2 linked regions of the Stegostoma tigrinum genome follow. The protein of the gene in region 2 binds, or shares a complex with, the protein of the main gene of each other region. Links are inferred from orthologs where the notes say so. Each region holds a gene or a part of one and is shown on either strand. Other genes may lie near its edges. The genes, in order: disabled homolog 2-interacting protein-like and map3k5.

Region 1 (8,666 bases), on a different chromosome or scaffold from region 2:
TGTTAGTGGCCATCCCTCCATATGTCTTCATCATCAGAAGAACTGGTGGTGTTCATCATGCAGCTGCCTCTTCCCCTTTTGCAGTGGAACGGGAAGGGTCTGACATGTTTTCCTTTCGCAGTTGTTTCTTACTGGCATCAATTACACTATCTCCTTAGTTTGCTCCTCCATCAGTTCAGGTGGAGGTTTGGTCAGTTTTTATGCCTCCACACAGGCTCTTTTCCTCCTGTCTGGCCTGTCCCTCCTTCTGGGTATCTTTTTCAGGTTTCTTACTGATGGATGGCACCTTACTGCCTTTTGGGTGTCTACGGCTTCCATTGCCAATTCTGGCAATCTGAGCATATGTGGTGCATCCTCCATCTTGGGGAGGCCTTATACAGCTGACTCACTTCCCTAGACAGGTTGCAACGCTTGGGCCCTTTGCAGTCAAGTGGCTCTCCAGTTTGCAATTCCTGGAGAGGGCCATTTATCAGCAGAGTGCAATACACCCTCATCTCCCATCAGTTCGGCACTCACTTGGACTGGCCCACATATCAGGTAGCCTCAAATCCCTCCGATCACAAAGCTGGAGGATGTGCCAATAGCGTCCACCTTCAGAGTCACCATTAACCGCTCTTTGCTGGTCCAGATTCCAAAGGGGTCCACTATACATTGGTGCTGCCTCCTTGAAGCTTAGATACCTACCCAGGAAGGTTAGGACATTTGCTGCCAGGGCATAGGGGTTATACCTGCTACTCTGTGCAGTGAGTGCAAACAATGGTGCCACAGACAGGGCAGAGAGGCAATCCTCACCACCTTTCTCCTCAAATACCGTCAGCAGACATTCATATTGCTTCACAGGTCTGAATGTTATGTCAAATTGGCCACTGCTAGGGAACTCCTGCAGACAGAAAATATCTGCTGCTTGGAAAGCACAGCAATCCAGGAGGACTCTCTTCCCAAAGAAGGTCCGGTCAACGAGAAATCCTTCCTCCACCTTCTTCATAGTCACCCTGACTGTATTTCAGACCGCCTGGCCTGGGACATGGGCACTAGCAGAGGCCATAGCTCTGGTCGGCTGGTCACTGAATTGGCATTAAGCTGAAGCCAGCATAAAGATTTGCCAAGTGGCAGCTCAGCTCAACCAACAATCTGAGTTCTGGTGGCAATCCAAATCCAGGTTCTTGGCACATATGCATTCCAAAATAGTCTTGCCTATCATCTGTCACTCCTGCCATGCCTCATCTTGAGACAGTCCAGCCATCCATCACTTCAGATGAATGCCTTAATGCCTTGCCTCCATCAGGGTTTGGGCCCGAAATGGGAATATTTTCCACTGAGGCAGTCAAAGAACATGCGCCAACTTGGATCAATATCATAGGCAGAAGTTCCCATCCTCTTCCTTACTAGACAAGATGGTCACTGGGACTGTTCCAAGATGTTCACCATAAGCTTCACAGTGGTTGAGAAACTGAATCTTGGAATCTCCTAGACTTCAGTTCAGTTCCCTAAAGAAAAAAAAATTTATATACAGAACATCAATCATGCACATACACCTTTTCCCAATGCAACATCAGTTGCCAAATATCAACGTCTATTCCTCCAAAACATCATCATGACCTGCTTGCAGTTGTTTATTGTTTTCTTCAATCGTAAGACTTCCATAGGTCTATGCATCACGCACAAGATAATTCCCTCTATTTGAAGGGTGCTAAGTTACTGAAAAGTAAAGACCCCAATGCAGTTTTCTTTGCAACATCACTGGAAACTGGTCTCCAGCTAGATCCATAGTAACTGACAATAACTATCCCAAAAAAATTAAGCTAAAAATCTACATCTCCCGTCGTAGCTTCTCATTAATTTCATAAGCTTTGATAATGGAAGTAAGTTTAATAGGAGATACTGTATGAAAAGTGTTTTGAAATTCCAAGCTGACAACAACTACTGGGATACCCTCATCAACTAAACTAGTAATGCGAACAAATTAGCAAAAGTCATCTTTCTTTTCCAAAGGCGAAGATGTCTCAGCTGATTCCATCTCAATCAAGGGATAATATAATGCATCACTTACAATCCCTTTGAGCCTCTTCTTATTCATAAAACAGGATTAAGGTTGTTAAACTGAGCGACAGCTGTAGTTCATCTGAGTCACAACTTTCCATCGAGTCCCACTCCAGAGCTTGAATAAAGTGTCTTACTAACACTTCAGTTTAGTGCAGAAGAACAGGTGCAATGTCTGCAGCGCCATGTTCAAATGAGACATTCAATTAAGACTCCATCTGCCTGTTTGTTAATGTAGAATATCTCATGGCACTATTCACAGAAGAGCAGTTATTCTACCTAATAATTACCTGTTATTCAGCATCATGAGTGAAATTACCATAAGACATACCTTCATATTTAAGCACTTCCTGCATACAAATTGGCTGTTGTTTCCCACATTACTTATAAATGGTATTTCGGTATTACACTTAAGGTATTTCAGTGCCTGTAAAAGCTTTTTGGCAGTTCTGAGGAGCACTATTAAAAAAAGCAAGTTATTTTACACTAACCCTGACTCTCCATCATACATCCTATGCTAACAAATGAATAATATCAATTTATGCAAGGTACTACAAGTGTGACAGACACCACAGAAGTGTACTGTAGCAAGGCCCTTTAGGGCCAAAAAGAGAATATTTACAAACAGTAAAACTCAAAATTGGACAATATTCATAACTGATTAAGAATATGGTACACTGCAAGACAGAACTGCATATTTACAAAACAAGCAATACATACAGCAAGAACTTTACCAAGCCTCTATTTTATACTACTAAGCTATCATGCAGTCCGCTGGTAGCTAATTTTAGTACTTTGTTCAGTTGACCAAGATTCTTAATGCTTTTACAGAAACTGATGTGTTGATGATTGGCAAACATGAAATGTGCTAGCTAAAGCTGAAAATTAAAATGTTATTCAAACACCTAAATGCATGATAACATGTTCCTTGGCAGCAAGTACATCATGTGTTAAAATGATTTTGCACAATATCCAAAACAGGACAAGGAAACAGTATACTGCTAAACACTACTGCTTACACCTGATCACTGTCTCATGTACAAGTGTTTTTCATAACATAGCCTACACGTACCATAATCAGTCTATACATGTCCTTCAAAGTCAATGCATACCTTCAGTGGCCAACATGCAAGCTTAACACGACACCCACAACTCAACTGCACCACCTACGCATGCTCTGCACATTTTCCACATCTTGAAAAGCTGCCCGAAACCTGCACTTCTCTTCCAATAGGTTTATCTAACCAGTACATGCAAAGATTAGCGCACATTCTTCAGCCAGTTTGAATAATGGCACGTCCCGTGATGGGCGTGCTGTGCCCGCGCTTTGACTCGTGTCAAATTCGAGATGTTCTACTCAATTTTTTTTCGCCTCAATGCACCCCATTCTGTTTAGGTCCACAACATTTCAGCTGACAATTTATAGTCTACCACCAAGTTGGCACTTGCATCTGCGATAGCGGCATGCACACACCCTCATTCACATTTGGTGTTCGCACTTTTCCCACCACACGTGTATCCATCCTACACCCAACAAGAACACGCTCCGGGGAGGGAGGTAAATCGCTCATGCCCTGGGAACTGTTCCAGGGACTAAAGCAAGGTCACAGCTTGACTAAATAACAAAATAAAATCATGTTTTAATATTAAAAAAACAAAAATAGCGTTCCCATACGCTTCTACACCTTGCCGATTTCCGAAGATAGAGAAATTAATCGCCAAACCAACATGCTGAGACTAGACAACTTCACGTTCGTCATGTTTTATCATATTTTGAGTGGAGGGTGGGAAAGTCCAGGCGACAGATTGCACCTGTCGTCCACACATCTGCAGGGGCAGAAACTTTGCGCTTTGGAGAATTCCCACGGCGGTACATTCATAATAATCCTCCCCAGCACAATCCTCATTATTCTCCGCCAAGACTCACCGTAAACTCGGAGCCAACCCTGGTACAAACTAGCAGCAAAGTAAAGGAGCGAGTCCCCCTCGATGATCGCCTCCATGGAACCAAAGTCAGTGCCGAATGGCCGCCTCACATCACCATGACTTCGACTAACGGTCGTCTCTCGTTCCACACCCAAACACCAACAGAAAAGGTTCGACGTCCTACTTCAATTCCTTTTTGTCTTCTTCTCGTCCAACCAGTCAGGCGAATAATGACAACTTTTAAATAATTTCCCCACAATCTTCGGTCAAAGTCAGCGCCTTTTATTCATTCCGAATTAAACCACCTGCCTCCGTGCCTCTGGAGGCGGGAGCATCTCCGCCTCCCGCCTCCTTCTCTCAATCTGACTGAAGGTTGCGAGGCGATTGACGAGTGGATAACCCATTCACAAGCAGGGAGTAATTTGATAGGCGGTCTGGCAGCCCAATCATATACCGTAATCTCTCTGATTGATAAACATATTAACCATTCACAAATGCGTTTTTAGGTTGAGTTTCAAGCCGGACAACCAATCAGCTGTTTCGGGGGTGTATCCGCTATGTCAAGAGGCGAGAAGACTTTTGCAACTTTGACAATACAGCAATGTGTGTGTGGATTCATTTGACATTGCTGCAGGTTAAATGTCATTTTAATATCTCTCAGGAAACGACTGCAGGCTGCAGCCAGGCGTGATTCTGAAGCACAAACAAAATGCTAAAACTGTTGGAAATATGAAGGAAGAAACGAATTGCTATGATTTTATTGTTTCATAGGATGGGGACTTCAATGGCTGGGCTAGCATTTTGTCAATCCCTAATTGCCTTGCAGAAGGTGATGGTGAACTAGCCTCCTTAAACTGCTGCAGCCCTTGGGATAGTGAGACACCACGGTTCTATTAGAAAGAGATTTTGACCCATCAACGGTGGGAAACGGTAATATACGTCCAAATCATGATGGTGAGTAGCTTAGTGTAATCTTGCAGACAATAGTGTTCCCAAACATATGCTGTTCTTTTCTTTCGAGGTAATGGAGGTTGCAGGTTTGAAAGCTACTGTCAAAGGAAAGTTGATGAAATACTGTAGTGCATCTTGTAGATTGCAAAAAAAAACTGCTGCCCCTATGTGCGCCTGATGGAAGTACTTTATGTCGAAGGTATTTGATGTGTTGCCAATCAAGCAGGCCACTTTGTCCTGAGTGATGTCAAGGTTCTTGAGAGTTGTTGAAATTGCAAACACCCAAGCAAATGGACAGTATTGCCTGACTTGTGATCGGTTGGAGATGGGCAGGCATTTGGGAGAGGGTGAGTTATTCCCTGCAAAATTCCCAGCCTCTGACTGGCTCTTGTAGCCACAGTATTAATATAATTGACCCTGTTCAGTTTCTGCTCAATGAGAACCACGAGAAATTTAATTTAAAAATTAATAATACCATTCAGCAATGGTAATGCCAATGAACATCAAGGGATTGTTGTTAGATTCTCTTTTGTAGAGATTAACATTGCCTGGTGCATATGTGGTGCAAATGTACATCTTTTGTTATACTAGGTGCAATTCCAAAAAATGGGAAGCTTCTCCTTGGTGCACATTGATTTTTTTTTTGCTAGGACTCCTTGATGCCAAACTCAATCAAATGCTTCCCTGATGTGAAAAGCAGTTACTCTCACCTCACCGCTGGCATTTAACTCTTTCCACCTTTGGACGTAGGCTGTACTGAAGTCAGGAGAGTAAATGGCAGAACCCTTAGAAGCATTGATATACAGAGGAGTCTTGGGGTCCAGGTACATAGCTCCCAGGTCAGCACGGAAGGTGGACTGAAGGGCCTGTTCCTGTACTATACAATTCTTTGTACAAGTAGCTAAACCCAAACTGAGTATCAGTGAGCAGGCTAACTCCTCTGCAAGTGGCACTGGGTAATGGCCCCTTCCATCATTTCGATGATGATGGAGCGGAGATTGACAAGGTGCTAATTGGTTGAGGAAGGGTCACTGGACCCGAAACGTTAACTCTGTTTTGTCCTCCACAGATGCTGTTAGAACTGCTGAGCTTTTCCAGCAACTTTGTTTTTGTTGCTAATTGGTTGAGTTGGATTTGCCCTTTTTGTGTACAGGCCATGTATGGGAAATTTTACACATTGTTTGTTGGATGTCAGTGTTGTAGGTTAAATTGGAACAGCCAAGTCTTCATATTATTATCAATATTCATCTGATCAGGCAATTTCTACACAGAAACAGTCAATGAATAGGTTTTAAGTCAGTGTAAGTGAGTTATGATGGGGACCAATGTAGCACAGCAGGCAAGACTGGAGAATAGCTTTGCAAACTGATGTCAATCATGAAATGCGATGTCAATGTATTTTTATCACAACACAAAGTGTGTCAAATTGAGCCCACGGTTTGTAATTCAGCAGCTGAGAATATATACTCAAGGACTTGAGAAAATCAGGTATTCTTCCATCGCTTAGGATTATTCCAATAGTATATTCACTTAGATCACATCTAATCTGTAACTTCTTTTGAATTACTCATCTTAGTTTCATATCCCTATTTAAAATACATCACAGGTTTAAAATTATCAATGAACAAGTTGTAGGAAGAGGCTTTCCAAAAACACATACTACATGTCAATTTGAGTAAAATGTATAGAATCAAAAGTGATGTCAATCTAATAACTAGTATGCTTCACAAGCCCAAGCCTCATACTGATTTTACAGCTAATTTTAATATTATGATTGATTGAATGGCTTATTTATTGTCACATGTACCAAAACACAGTGAATAGCTTTCTTTACAAGCAATACAGAAGGATCATAGTAAGCAAAGGATGTACAGATCAAAAAGACTTCGACAGAAGTTACATTGCACAGGCCATGTGCTCGGCGAGATCAACATTGGCACGTTTTGAGGCCAGAGAGTCTATTCATCAGTCTAATAAGAGCTAGCAAGAAACTGTTCCTGAACCTGATTGTGCATGCATTCAGGCTTCTGTATCTTCTGCCTGATGAAAGAGGTTGTTGGAGATCATTACTGGGGTGTGGTGGGTCTTTGATGATGTTGGCAGCCTCTCCGGAGCAGCAAGTTGCATAATTGAAGTCCACGCATGGAAAGAGATAACAAGGTGTAGGGCTGGATGAACACAGCAGGCCAAGTAGCATCAGAGGAGCAGGAAGGCTGACGTTTCAGGCCTAGACTCTTCTTCAGAAAATGACCCTTCTGAAGAAGGGTCTAGGCCCGAAACATCAGCCTTCCTGCTCCTCTGATGCTGCTTGGCCTGCTGTGTTCATCCAGCACCTTGTTATCTCAGATTCTCCAGCATCTGCAGTTTCTACTATCTCTCCACACATGGAAAGTTGGCTTCAATGATGGTCTGGGCTGTGCACACTATCATCTGTAGCTTCTTATGATCCTGGGCAGAATAGTCACCATATCAGGCTATTATGCACCTGGACAGTATGCTTTCAATGGTACATCTGTAGAATTTGGTGAGGGACCTTGTGGATATGCCAAATTTCCTGAGCTGCCTGAAGAAGAGGCATTGCTGTGCCTTCTTGAATGTTACATTTATGTAGCGATTCCAGGACAGGTTGTTGGTTATCATTACTCTGAGGAATTGATGCTGTTCATCCTCTCAACCTCAGTTCTGCTGATATAGAGGGGCTGTGTTCTCTCTTTCTGAAGTCAATGATCAGTGCTTTAGTTTTGCTGATGTTGAGAAAGATTGTTTTCACTGCACCACATCACTATCTCCTTCTGTTGTTAGACTTGTCGTTGTTAGATATCCGTCCCACTACAGTGGTGTCATCAGCGAACTTGTAAATGGCGTTTATTTGGAATTTGGCAACACTGTCATAGATGTAAAGGGAGTACAGAAGAGGGCTAAGGACACATCCTTGGGGTGGGTCCAATAATGAATGTTATTGCTGAGGAGGTCCAGTTACCTGTCATCACTGATTGTAGCCTATGGGTCAGAAAACTGAAAATCCAGTTGCAGAGGGCAGAGCAGAGTCCAAGATCACAGAGTTTTGAGATCAGTTTGGAGGGAATAATGGTGTTGAAGGCAGAGCTGTAGACAATGAGCAAGAGTCTGACGTACGTGTCTTTGCTGTGTCGACATTCCAGGGATGAGTGCAGAGCTAGGAATATGGCATCTTCTGTGGACCTGTTATGTCGGTAGGCAAACAGTAGGGGATCGAGGCAGGTTGGGAGACTGAGGTTGATGTGGGCCATGACCAGCCTCTCAAAGCATTTAATGATTATTGAGGTCAGAGCCACTGGGCAGTAGTCATTAAGGCATGTTGCATGTGCTTCCTTAGTTATGGAGCTGATGGTGGCTTCCTTAAAGCAGGTGGAGACTTTAGCTTGGAGAAGGGAGTGGTTAAAGATGTCAGTGAATGCCTCCGTCAGTTACTCTACATAAGATCGGAGTGCTCAGCCAGAGACACAGTCCAGGCTCAACACTCTCCTTGGGTTGACTCCTAGGAAGAACGATCTGACATCTGAACTGGTAACAGAGGGAACAGGTATGTTTGGGGCTATTACAGTTGGCGTGACCGCAGTGCTTGAATTCTGCTTGAACCGAGCATAGAAAGCATTGAGCACGTTAGGAAGGGATGTGTCTTTGTCCACTATCTAGCACTGCTTCATTTTAAACATTCTGTGTCAGTGCATTCTGCATGTACACTAACTATGAAATATAATTTTATATTT
Region 2 (9,551 bases):
CAACAAAGGGACATCAATTTAAGACTGAGAGGAGGAAAAGTTTCTCCTCTCAGGTTATGAATCTTTAGAACTCCTTGCCACAGACAGCTGCGGGGGCAGTGTCCTTTTGTATAGTTAAAGCTGAGATAGATAGATTCTTGATCGGTAGGGACAGTGCAGGAAAGTGGATGTGAGGGATGTTGAATCAGCCATGATCCTATTGAATGGCAGAGCATGCTTGAGGAGCTGAATATCTTACTCCTGTTCTTTTTTCTTATAATCTTATGGATCATTGGATCACGTGATCACATTGAATGGCAAAGAAGCCTCGATGGGCTGAATGCCTACTTCTGCTCTGACATCTTATGACTTTATCATTACAAAATCACACAGAAAGGTACCTTTGGCCCATTGAGTCTGTACTGCTAAAAATACACTCCAACCTACACTCATGCTATTTTCTCCATACTAGACTCTTGGCCTTGAATATTATGACACTCCGAGAGTTCATTCAAGAACTTTTTTTTGAAAGGTTGTGAGGTAACTCAACTCAATTACTCTCCCAAAGGCAGTGCATCCCAGAATCCCACTATTCACTGGGTGAGACTTTTCCTCAAATTCCTTCTAACTTCCTGCCTTTCACTTTTAAATTATGTCCCGTTGTTACTCACCCTTCAGCTAATAGGAACAGCTAATTTCTATCTTTGCCCATCATAGGCTTGTACATCTCTATCAGGTCACGCTCAACCTTGTCTGTTCCAAAAGCAGACAACATGAGTTTATATAGCTTCCCTTTATAGCAGCATGTTCTCACTGCCTGACCTTTCCACCAATTGCAACTTCTTTCTGTTGCAAACCCTCACGGTTTTGAGCACTTCTATTAAATCTCCTTTCCACCTTTGCTTCTCCAGGGAAAACTTAAACTTCCCAAATCCATCCTCCTTTACGAAACACCTCATCCCAAAAGCCAATCTCTAATGTATTTGTATCTTTCCTAAAGCGATGCTCTCGGCATATGGTGTGGTATGTCCAGAACTCCAGCAAAGACAAAAAACAGTATTTTGTAAAAGATTCATCAAAACTTCCTTGCTCTTTACATTGTCTGCATGTTTTTAAAGCTCGGGATTCTGTAGACCTTTTAAATCATTATTTCAAACTTCCACTTTCAATGACTCAGGCTCTTATATTCCAGGCCTCGCTGCTCCTGCAACCACTTTAGAATTGTGTGTCATTTATTTTGCTTTGCCTCTCCTTGCTTATCCTACACAAATGTCTCTTTCCACACATCTCTATAATAAATTTGATCTGCTAGGAGTCCACCTATTCCATTAGCCTTTGTTCTTTTAAAACCTCTTTCTTCTATTTAAAGTCTTCTCACCATCCACAATACCTAGAAAGATTTTAAATCACCAGCAATTTCTGAAATTGTGCAGTCTGAAAATCATTTGTCACTCATTTCTATTTCCAGTCAGTCGACTTCATATCAAGTCACTGTCCATTTTGTTCTATAGAAACACAAAAACTGATGGCAAGAATAGGCCATTTGGCCTGTCAAACCCATTCCACTATTCCATGTGGATAATTTTGACAGTTTCTCAACTACCACAGCCTGCACACCTCTCCATGCCTTTATCTTCTAAAAATCTATTTATTTCTCAAATATACTCAGCAACTCTACCTCCACTGCCTGCTGTGGTACAGAAGTCTATTGGTTCACTACACGGAGTAAAGAAATTTCTCCTCATTTCAGTTTGAAATGGCCTGTGCGTAATCTGAGACTGTGACCCCTTGCTCTGGACCCTCTCATCATCAGAAACACTATCTCTGCATCCACTCTGTCCAGCCCTGTCTGCGTTTTATAAGTTTCAATGATGTCTTCTTTCATTCTTCTTAATGCCAGTGAATACAGGCCCAGTCAATCCAATCTCTTCTCAGAAAACAACGTCTGCACAGGGATCAGGCTGATAAAAGAACCTTCAATGTTTCCAGCAAGGCTATGTGGCACTTTACCAAATGCCTTTTGGAAGTTTGTGCATTTTACATCAGCAACCCACGTGAAATGTGTTACCCATTAAAATTTATCCTTAGACCCTCTGAACGAAGACGTAACACTTACATTTCTCCAGTCTCTTGACACCATCCCTGTATCTAAGTAGGATTGGAAGTAATGTGACTGAACTTGTAATCCAGAACCCTGGACTAAAGTTCTGGGGACATCCGTTTGAACTCCACCATGGCAGATGGTGAAACTTTAATTAAAATGCAATCTGGAATTATAAACTTCAGTGTAAGGTAACCATGTAATCAGATGTCAAAACAAAAAAAAATCGAGTTCATTAAATCCTTTTGGGGAAGGGAATCTGTCATTCTTGCCTCTTCTGGCCTAACATGTGACTCCTGACCTGGAAGGTAGTCAACGGCTATCTTGGTAGAGAGATCGGCAATAAATGCTGCCCAAGCCAAAGACTCCCACATCTCAAGAACAAACTGAAAACAAACTGCACTTTCCACCACTGCTTCCTTCAGTATCCTTGGCTACATCCCAACATCTGCTGGTGATGTCAGTTTTTACTTAGTGTCACCCGTTCTAATAAATCCTCTTGAATAATTCTTGGTCCAACCAGGTCTTAACTTTCCCAGTGCTTTCTTCCTTCAATAAGGCAGATGCAATGTTCCTCTGACCAGATAATCAGGAAAAGCACCAAGCAGAACAGTCTAAACATTTATTGATTATTACTCACCTGTGGTGAAGATCAGTATCAGATGAACACAACTGAACCTTGTCAAATTTTATTACAAGTAGTGTTCTCCTTAACATCAATAGTTTGGCAGAACGCAGATCAACGTTACATTTAACTCAAAATTTAGCTTTTTAAAAAATAAATGGAATACTGGTCCAGGCAAAAGTGATTTTGCAGTGGAGTCCATACAGTAGCACCATACAAATTACTCGTGTCAGAATACTGTGCCAACACTGTTAGGTCATGGTTTCAATCTCCACGAGAAACATAAGTCGCCATTAATACGGTCTTTCTGAGAAGTACTGCAACACATCGCTTCGAACCTGCTTTATTTGTTACACATTATTCTGAACGCTTCGGTCTATGCACAGAACAAATGGCAACAAATTTAAACAGACAATTGCTCACCAGTCTCTAACAGATCGAACACCACTCAAGCAATATCTGTGCAAAGACAGCGGCACTTTGGGTACTGCAGAGCGACACAGGCTGGATTCACAGTGCCAACACCAACCTTGTCTCTTTCAAAGTTGTGGCTCAAGTTTCACCCTCCAGTTTACAGTGAGCCACCGGATGAAGCTGGATCCAAGCATTCAAAAAGGTGCATCATTCCAGACTGTAAAGGTCACCTACGGCAATGTTAGGACTCGAGGTCTTCAATTTCCTTAAAACAGAAAAGAGGACATTTGTGCAGAAGCAGCAGGGCTCAGAGCTCTCCCTCTCTCAGCTTACCTGCATTGTAGAAATAATCCAGGACGGCGGTCTCTCCGAAGTCCAGCTTCTCGAAAGGCACAGTATCCAGGGAGGCGCTGACACTCTCGCACGCCTCCCTCAAACACTGCAGAGCCAGGCTCTCGGCGAGCTGCAGCTGAGCCGCCTCGTTCACCACGTACACCACGGTAGTCGGCCGGTTCTTGAGCCGAGCAGCCGGCACTGAGGACGGTACCGAAGCGGCTGCCGTGTGGTCCTGCCAGTAGGTGCCAGCCGGGACACTGCTGCTGGCGCTGGCACTGCCCTGCCCCGGGCACAGGAGCGGCACCGGGACAGCGAGGCCCCCGCCGTCTCCCTCAAGGGCCGCGCCTGCTGCCGCCTCCTGGTCCAGGCTCATATCGGTTAGAGCGAAGCGGAACCGCCGCTGCTGCTGCTGTTTCAGCGACACTATGTCGCCGCTGCGCCTCTCGCTAGAGCGTAGCGAACCAACCTGCTCTCACAGACATGGGAATACGAAGGAATTACATGAACTTGAAAAGAAGCACACTGCAAAAAGCTCGTGATTCCACGCAGCGATATTAATACTTGCAGGAATTAGTCCGATCGCCCCTGCCTGTGTGTATGCTGCTCTGGTTACACTAACCAGTCAGTCCCAAGTCTAGATTTTTAGGGGCTGTCCGATTACCAAAAGAGGACATCCAATCCGAAGGCCCAGTGCAACACGCCAGGAGGAGGCGTGGAGTACAGTATAGCAATAGAGTTTATGCGAGTACCCCACCACTGAACGAGCTCTGGGTGGGATTTTTAAACATGCACGTCATGTTTCAAATGTATTTCCTCACTGCATCTTTGGTTATCTTACAGAGTTACAAATATGGGCTACACTGTGTGTGCCATGTTGATGGCAAACACGCCTTTGATAGTGAACTGTAACTCATGCACTGCGTCAATGTTGGCACTATTTATCAGAGCGCCAATCTTTCTTTGCTTGACCTGGATTCCTAAAGAGCCCCGTCAAGGCAATCATCGGGTCCCTTGCACCCAAACTGGGACAACCTCGTTCCCCCCCACCCCTCCAACCTCCCATTTCCTTCCGTCGCCTCTTGACCTCCCGCAGGTATATTTATATTCCTGCTGGAATCTATTTCTGGAGCCCACGCCTTGAGGAAGTGTGCCCGTTCTTCTCAGATAAGTTTAGACACAATGGGTTGACAGGATGTTTAGTCAAGGGTGGGGTGGCCAGACTGTCAAAATTAACAACCAGGACGCATTGAAAATGTAGGGCTCGCTGATAATTGGTATGTTCAGTCTGGCGGAAGGGCACTTTACGATAGAAGGTCACGTGATGACATCTGGAATATTTCCAGCCAAAGCTGGCAAGTCTATTGAGAACCGGACTTTATATCCTTTAGTACTCTTACATAAAACCGAATGGCTTTCTCACCACCACCTCTGCAACTGGATCCTCATGCTTCTGACCCACAGACCACAATCAGTGAAGATTGACAACTGCACCTCCTCCATGATAACACTCAACACTGGAGCCCCCCCTCTCCCCCCCCCAGGATGCGTTCTCAACCCCCTACTGTACTCCCTGTACATCCGTGGATGCCAAATTCTGAATGAACGCCATCCATAAGTTTGCTGATGGCACCACTGTGGTAGGACAGATATCAGCCAGCGATGAGTCAGAATACAGAAAGGAGATAGAGAGCTTGGTGATGTGGTGCAACAAGAACAACATCGCTCAATGTCAGCAAAACTAATGAATTGATCATTGATTTCAGAAAGAGGGGAGAACACACCCCCAAACATCAGTGGTGCTGAGGTTGAGAGGCTGGAGAGCATCAAGTTCCTCAGAGGGACGATAACTGACAACCTGTCCTGGACTTTCGACATAGATGTGACTGTCAAGAAGACACACAACATCTCTGTTTCCTCAGACAGCTCAGGAAATTTGGCATGCCCACAAGATCTCTCGCCAACCTTTACAGATGCACCATTGAAAGTCCAGGTGTATGGCAACTGCTCTGCCCAGAACCATCAGAAGCTGCAGAAGGTGTGGGCACAGTCCAGACCATCATGGAAACTAACCTCCCATCCGTGGACTCCATTTACATGGCCTGTTGCTGTGGAAAGGCTGCCAACATGATTAAAGACCCATTACATCCAGCAATGCTCTCCCATAACCACTTCAGTCAAGCAGAACATAGAGAAGCCTGAACACATGTACCAACAGCTTCAAGAATTGCTTTTCTTTGCCATTACTAGATTGATGAATGGATTCTCTAACTTCAAAATATGCCGATCTTGCTAATGCCGATCTTGCCTAGTGCACACCCTGCGCGATGTAACTTGCAAGTGGTATGGAGAGGAGGTCGAACCTCTCTGATAATTAAAGTTGAAACACAAGCTCCCAGTCTGTTACAGCAGGAGCCAACTAACAATAACATTCACAACACAACCTACAAATCTGCTCTAAAACTTAGAAGCAGGAGTAGAGGTCCTCTTCCAATAATTAAACCCAAATCATCCAAAGAAGCTTGCCTCACCTCGCCTAATCTGTGAAAAAGTGCGGTTAAATGAAAGAAAATCCCTGATATTTACTTTATAAGTAACAAGTAACAATTTATTTATTTAATGCTAACAGTGAATGCATTAACAGAATTACTAACAAACTGAATAATTCCCCCAACTCCTAACCATTTCCTAACTGAACAAAATTCTACTGGTATGCTGTTCCACTAAACACAAGTCCCCCTTATATAACCCGTGTAATAAGAAAAAAAATTAAAACTTTGTCTCTCAAAGTTTGGGAATGCTCTACCTTCTCCGCTATCGTTCCAATCATAAACACGTTTATTCTACTAATCTTGCTGTTAGGGATGTTTTCTCTATGAATTCTTCTGTGAGGACTCTTAACTAACAGTGTCATGGTACCTCTTATGGATACATGGTGCTTTCTTAGACAGCTTATTGATTTCTTGAGAGAGCTAGATGCTTATGTCTCAGATGGCAGTTTGCTCTCACCCTGATTTTCAAAAACCCTCTGCTTACATATCTTGGATGACATATCAGCTTTCTTACAATCCTTCTAATTCATGAACTCTATGCAACTTCATAACATATACCTCTGTCTAACTTTTTTTTCACCCAATGATCTATGTGTCCTTGCTGAATATGATCTGCCTGTACAGCTCATAAACAAAGCTTTTCACTGTACTTAGCTACATGAGACAATAAATTAAATCAATCACCATGATATATTTTCCTTTGACTAACTATTCTCAATGCAGCCAATTAATTATTTACATGCAAAGACCATTATGGGTAATGCAAAGCATCAAGTATGAGGGAAGGGTGGGGGAAGCAGAAAGTGGCTAAATCAAAATGGAATTGGTGGGTCTAGGCCCGAAACGTCAGCTTTTGTGCTCCTGACGGAATCCTATATCCCATTCCAAATTTAATATGCAATATATAATATTTTCTAACCACAGACATTTTCAGCCAAATGCTGAACTTTAAACAAACAACTGTAGATGACGTGTGCATGGCTTTTGTAGCCTTTCAGCTATCATACACCAGGGCTGAAAACTGTAGATACACTCAGACTAGTTGTGCAGTGAATGTATATTGTGATTATTAAGAATATTAAAATCATGTTGAAGCATTTCAGTATGCTGTGTGAAGACAAGATGAATTTTATTGTAAATACTGTAATTTTCAAGTGGAAATACTGGTCATGTAATTTTACAAACTATATGAATTTGACTTAACAAAAGTAATACCAGGAAAAGGCAGACTTGCCATAAAACTGGAAGAGGAGATTTCCATAAACAGTTTGTGCGTTGCTATACTGGGAAGAAGATGACAATATAAAGGGTAATATTCCAGTTCTGAGGAATTGTTTGTATTGAAACTGAACAGGAAGAATCTAATACAGCCGGTTAGTTGTGTGCGTGGTTAGAGGTTTTCTTTGCATTTAAACTGACAGCAAGCTAAATTAAGGCCTTGCTAATTATACAGTGTCAGACACAACTCCTTTTCATCAAATACTCTAACTCATTGCGTCCAGGAAATAACAACTAATGCTCCACCCAGATTTATCACTGAGAACTGCCAAAATTGAGAGAGTAGGAGTTGAACCCCATTCCTCAAGTTTCCAGCTATTCAGTTTTGTTTTCATAAACTATTTCTGGTAATATTACAGTACTGTAGTTTGAGAATCAACATTTAACGTAAAACACTTCCTCAACTGGTCTCACGATGAATCAAAATATTGAACCATTATGTCATTCTCTATTCATGGTATTGTATCAGAAAAAAATCATTAAGTATAGAAATCTCTTGTTACAATATTTATGATTATGCAAAAACTCTGTTGATCAAAAATGCCTCGATCATCTCAGTGAATTCCATAAATTGCCGTTCTATATAATTATGTAATAGGTCTTTGATTTCTTTTCAATTTTTTTTGCAACACATTACCAGTACTAACAGTGCCACAGATTCAGCCAATACTTCCACGTTTAATTCACAGCAAGCTCTTGAGATTGTTTACATTGGCTGAACATTTGGCTGTTTTTGGCTGGTTATCCAAACCACCTGCAATACTAACTATATTCAGGCAGCTTGAGCTTTTAATCACCTATAAAAAGACACAGCATTCATTTTGAGCACCAAAGAAACAGGGTGGATATGTTGTTATTCTGCAAAAACATTCAACTAATTGAAAATGTAATTAAATACTTTTCTTAATAAGGATCCAGCAGAGTCCAGATTACTACAATTTCAAAATTTGTTGACTTGAGACATAGTTGATTCAAACATTATGTGTAAAACTTTATTATGAGCTGGTAACAGAAGTATTGCTTAGTTTTAAGGGGGTGGGGTCAGTTTTCGCTGTTTTAAGTCAGCTCTGGTCCAGTTGACAGTATTTTCTCCTGAGACAGTGCTGGTAGGTTTAAAACAAACACAGAAAATGCTGAAAAATCCCAGCAGGAATGGTAGCTTCGCTGGTGAGAATCAGAGTAAACATTGCGAGTGCAATATAACTCTTCTCTAGAACTGTAAGGTTGAGATATGGCCACGTACCACTCTAGGTCATAAGCATAAAATGTAGGTACTGATTGTGTTGCACTTTTGGATACGCCATATTTTGCCGATAACTTCAAATCAAGGTCCCATCTATCCTCGCAAGCAGAAGTTCACATGGCATTATTTCAAAGAGTGTGGGTGTTTGCCCTAGTTTTGTGGCCAATATGTATCTCTCAACCAACCTGTGATTATCTGTGTAGCCATTATCTCACTGGGTTTTTGAGTAAGTTTGCTGGGTACACATTGGTTGCTGCATTTATTACATTACAATATTATGTGCACTTCAAAAACAAACTTTATTTACTGACATGCGCTTTGGGATCTCATGAGGGCACAACGTGTGCTTCATAAATGTAAGTTCTTTCTGTTGGTCAGTTGAATGGAGGAAAGTGTAGGATTCTCATGTTACCAGTAAGTTGTGAAGGGGCAGTGAAACTATTCAGGGCTGCAAGGCCCACATTATTGTTTTGCAACCTGCAGTCCTGCTTCTCCGTTTCAGAATTTTTGTATTTTACCAGCAGATTTTACTAAGCAACTGTCCGCAGTATCTTCTTTCCAGTAGTCCTACATCAGTGGCAGTGTGGGCCTACCTATAACAAATGGACTGCAGCAGTTCACAATGGCAGCTTACCATCACTTTCTAAAAGGCAATTAGATAAGAGTAATAAATTTCGGCTCTGCGCACAAGAGTCACATCCTACAAATGATTTTAAAAAAGATATATGCCCATCATAGGAAAACAATTTGCATAGATTTATGATGACTGGGCTGCCCAGTGCTCCATGAATAAATGCAGCCAAGCAGTAAGTTTGGCTTACCAGCTCTAATGAAGAGTCATCAAGACTTGAAACTTGCTCTCTCTCTCTCTCTCTCTCTCTTCATGGATACAGACTGACCCACTGTGATTTCCGGCATGTTTTTGTTTTCAGGCAATAAGCATGTATGTTGCCAACTCCTACAGCTTCCCCCCAGAATGACTATACAAGCAGCCTGTGAAATCTACAGCCTGTAAATTCCACTTTC

The links.
Region 1: map3k5 (region 2) and disabled homolog 2-interacting protein-like share a complex: the UniProt entries of both Homo sapiens proteins name them as parts of the cytoplasmic complex. The link is inferred for Stegostoma tigrinum from reciprocal best matches to the Homo sapiens genes MAP3K5 and DAB2IP.

Annotation. Positions count from the first base shown.
Region 1 is NC_081382.1:31,305,295-31,313,960, forward strand, and holds the start of disabled homolog 2-interacting protein-like, read right to left. Parts: upstream 4,281-8,666; 5' UTR 4,044-4,280; coding exon 3,968-4,043; intron 1-3,967. UniProt on the Homo sapiens protein: Functions as a scaffold protein implicated in the regulation of a large spectrum of both general and specialized signaling pathways.
Region 2 is NC_081357.1:44,908,398-44,917,948, forward strand, and holds the start of map3k5 (mitogen-activated protein kinase kinase kinase 5), read right to left. Parts: upstream 4,072-9,551; 5' UTR 3,829-4,071; coding exon 3,453-3,828; intron 3,426-3,452; exon of another isoform or gene 3,235-3,425; intron 1-3,234. UniProt on the Homo sapiens protein: Serine/threonine kinase which acts as an essential component of the MAP kinase signal transduction pathway. Plays an important role in the cascades of cellular responses evoked by changes in the environment.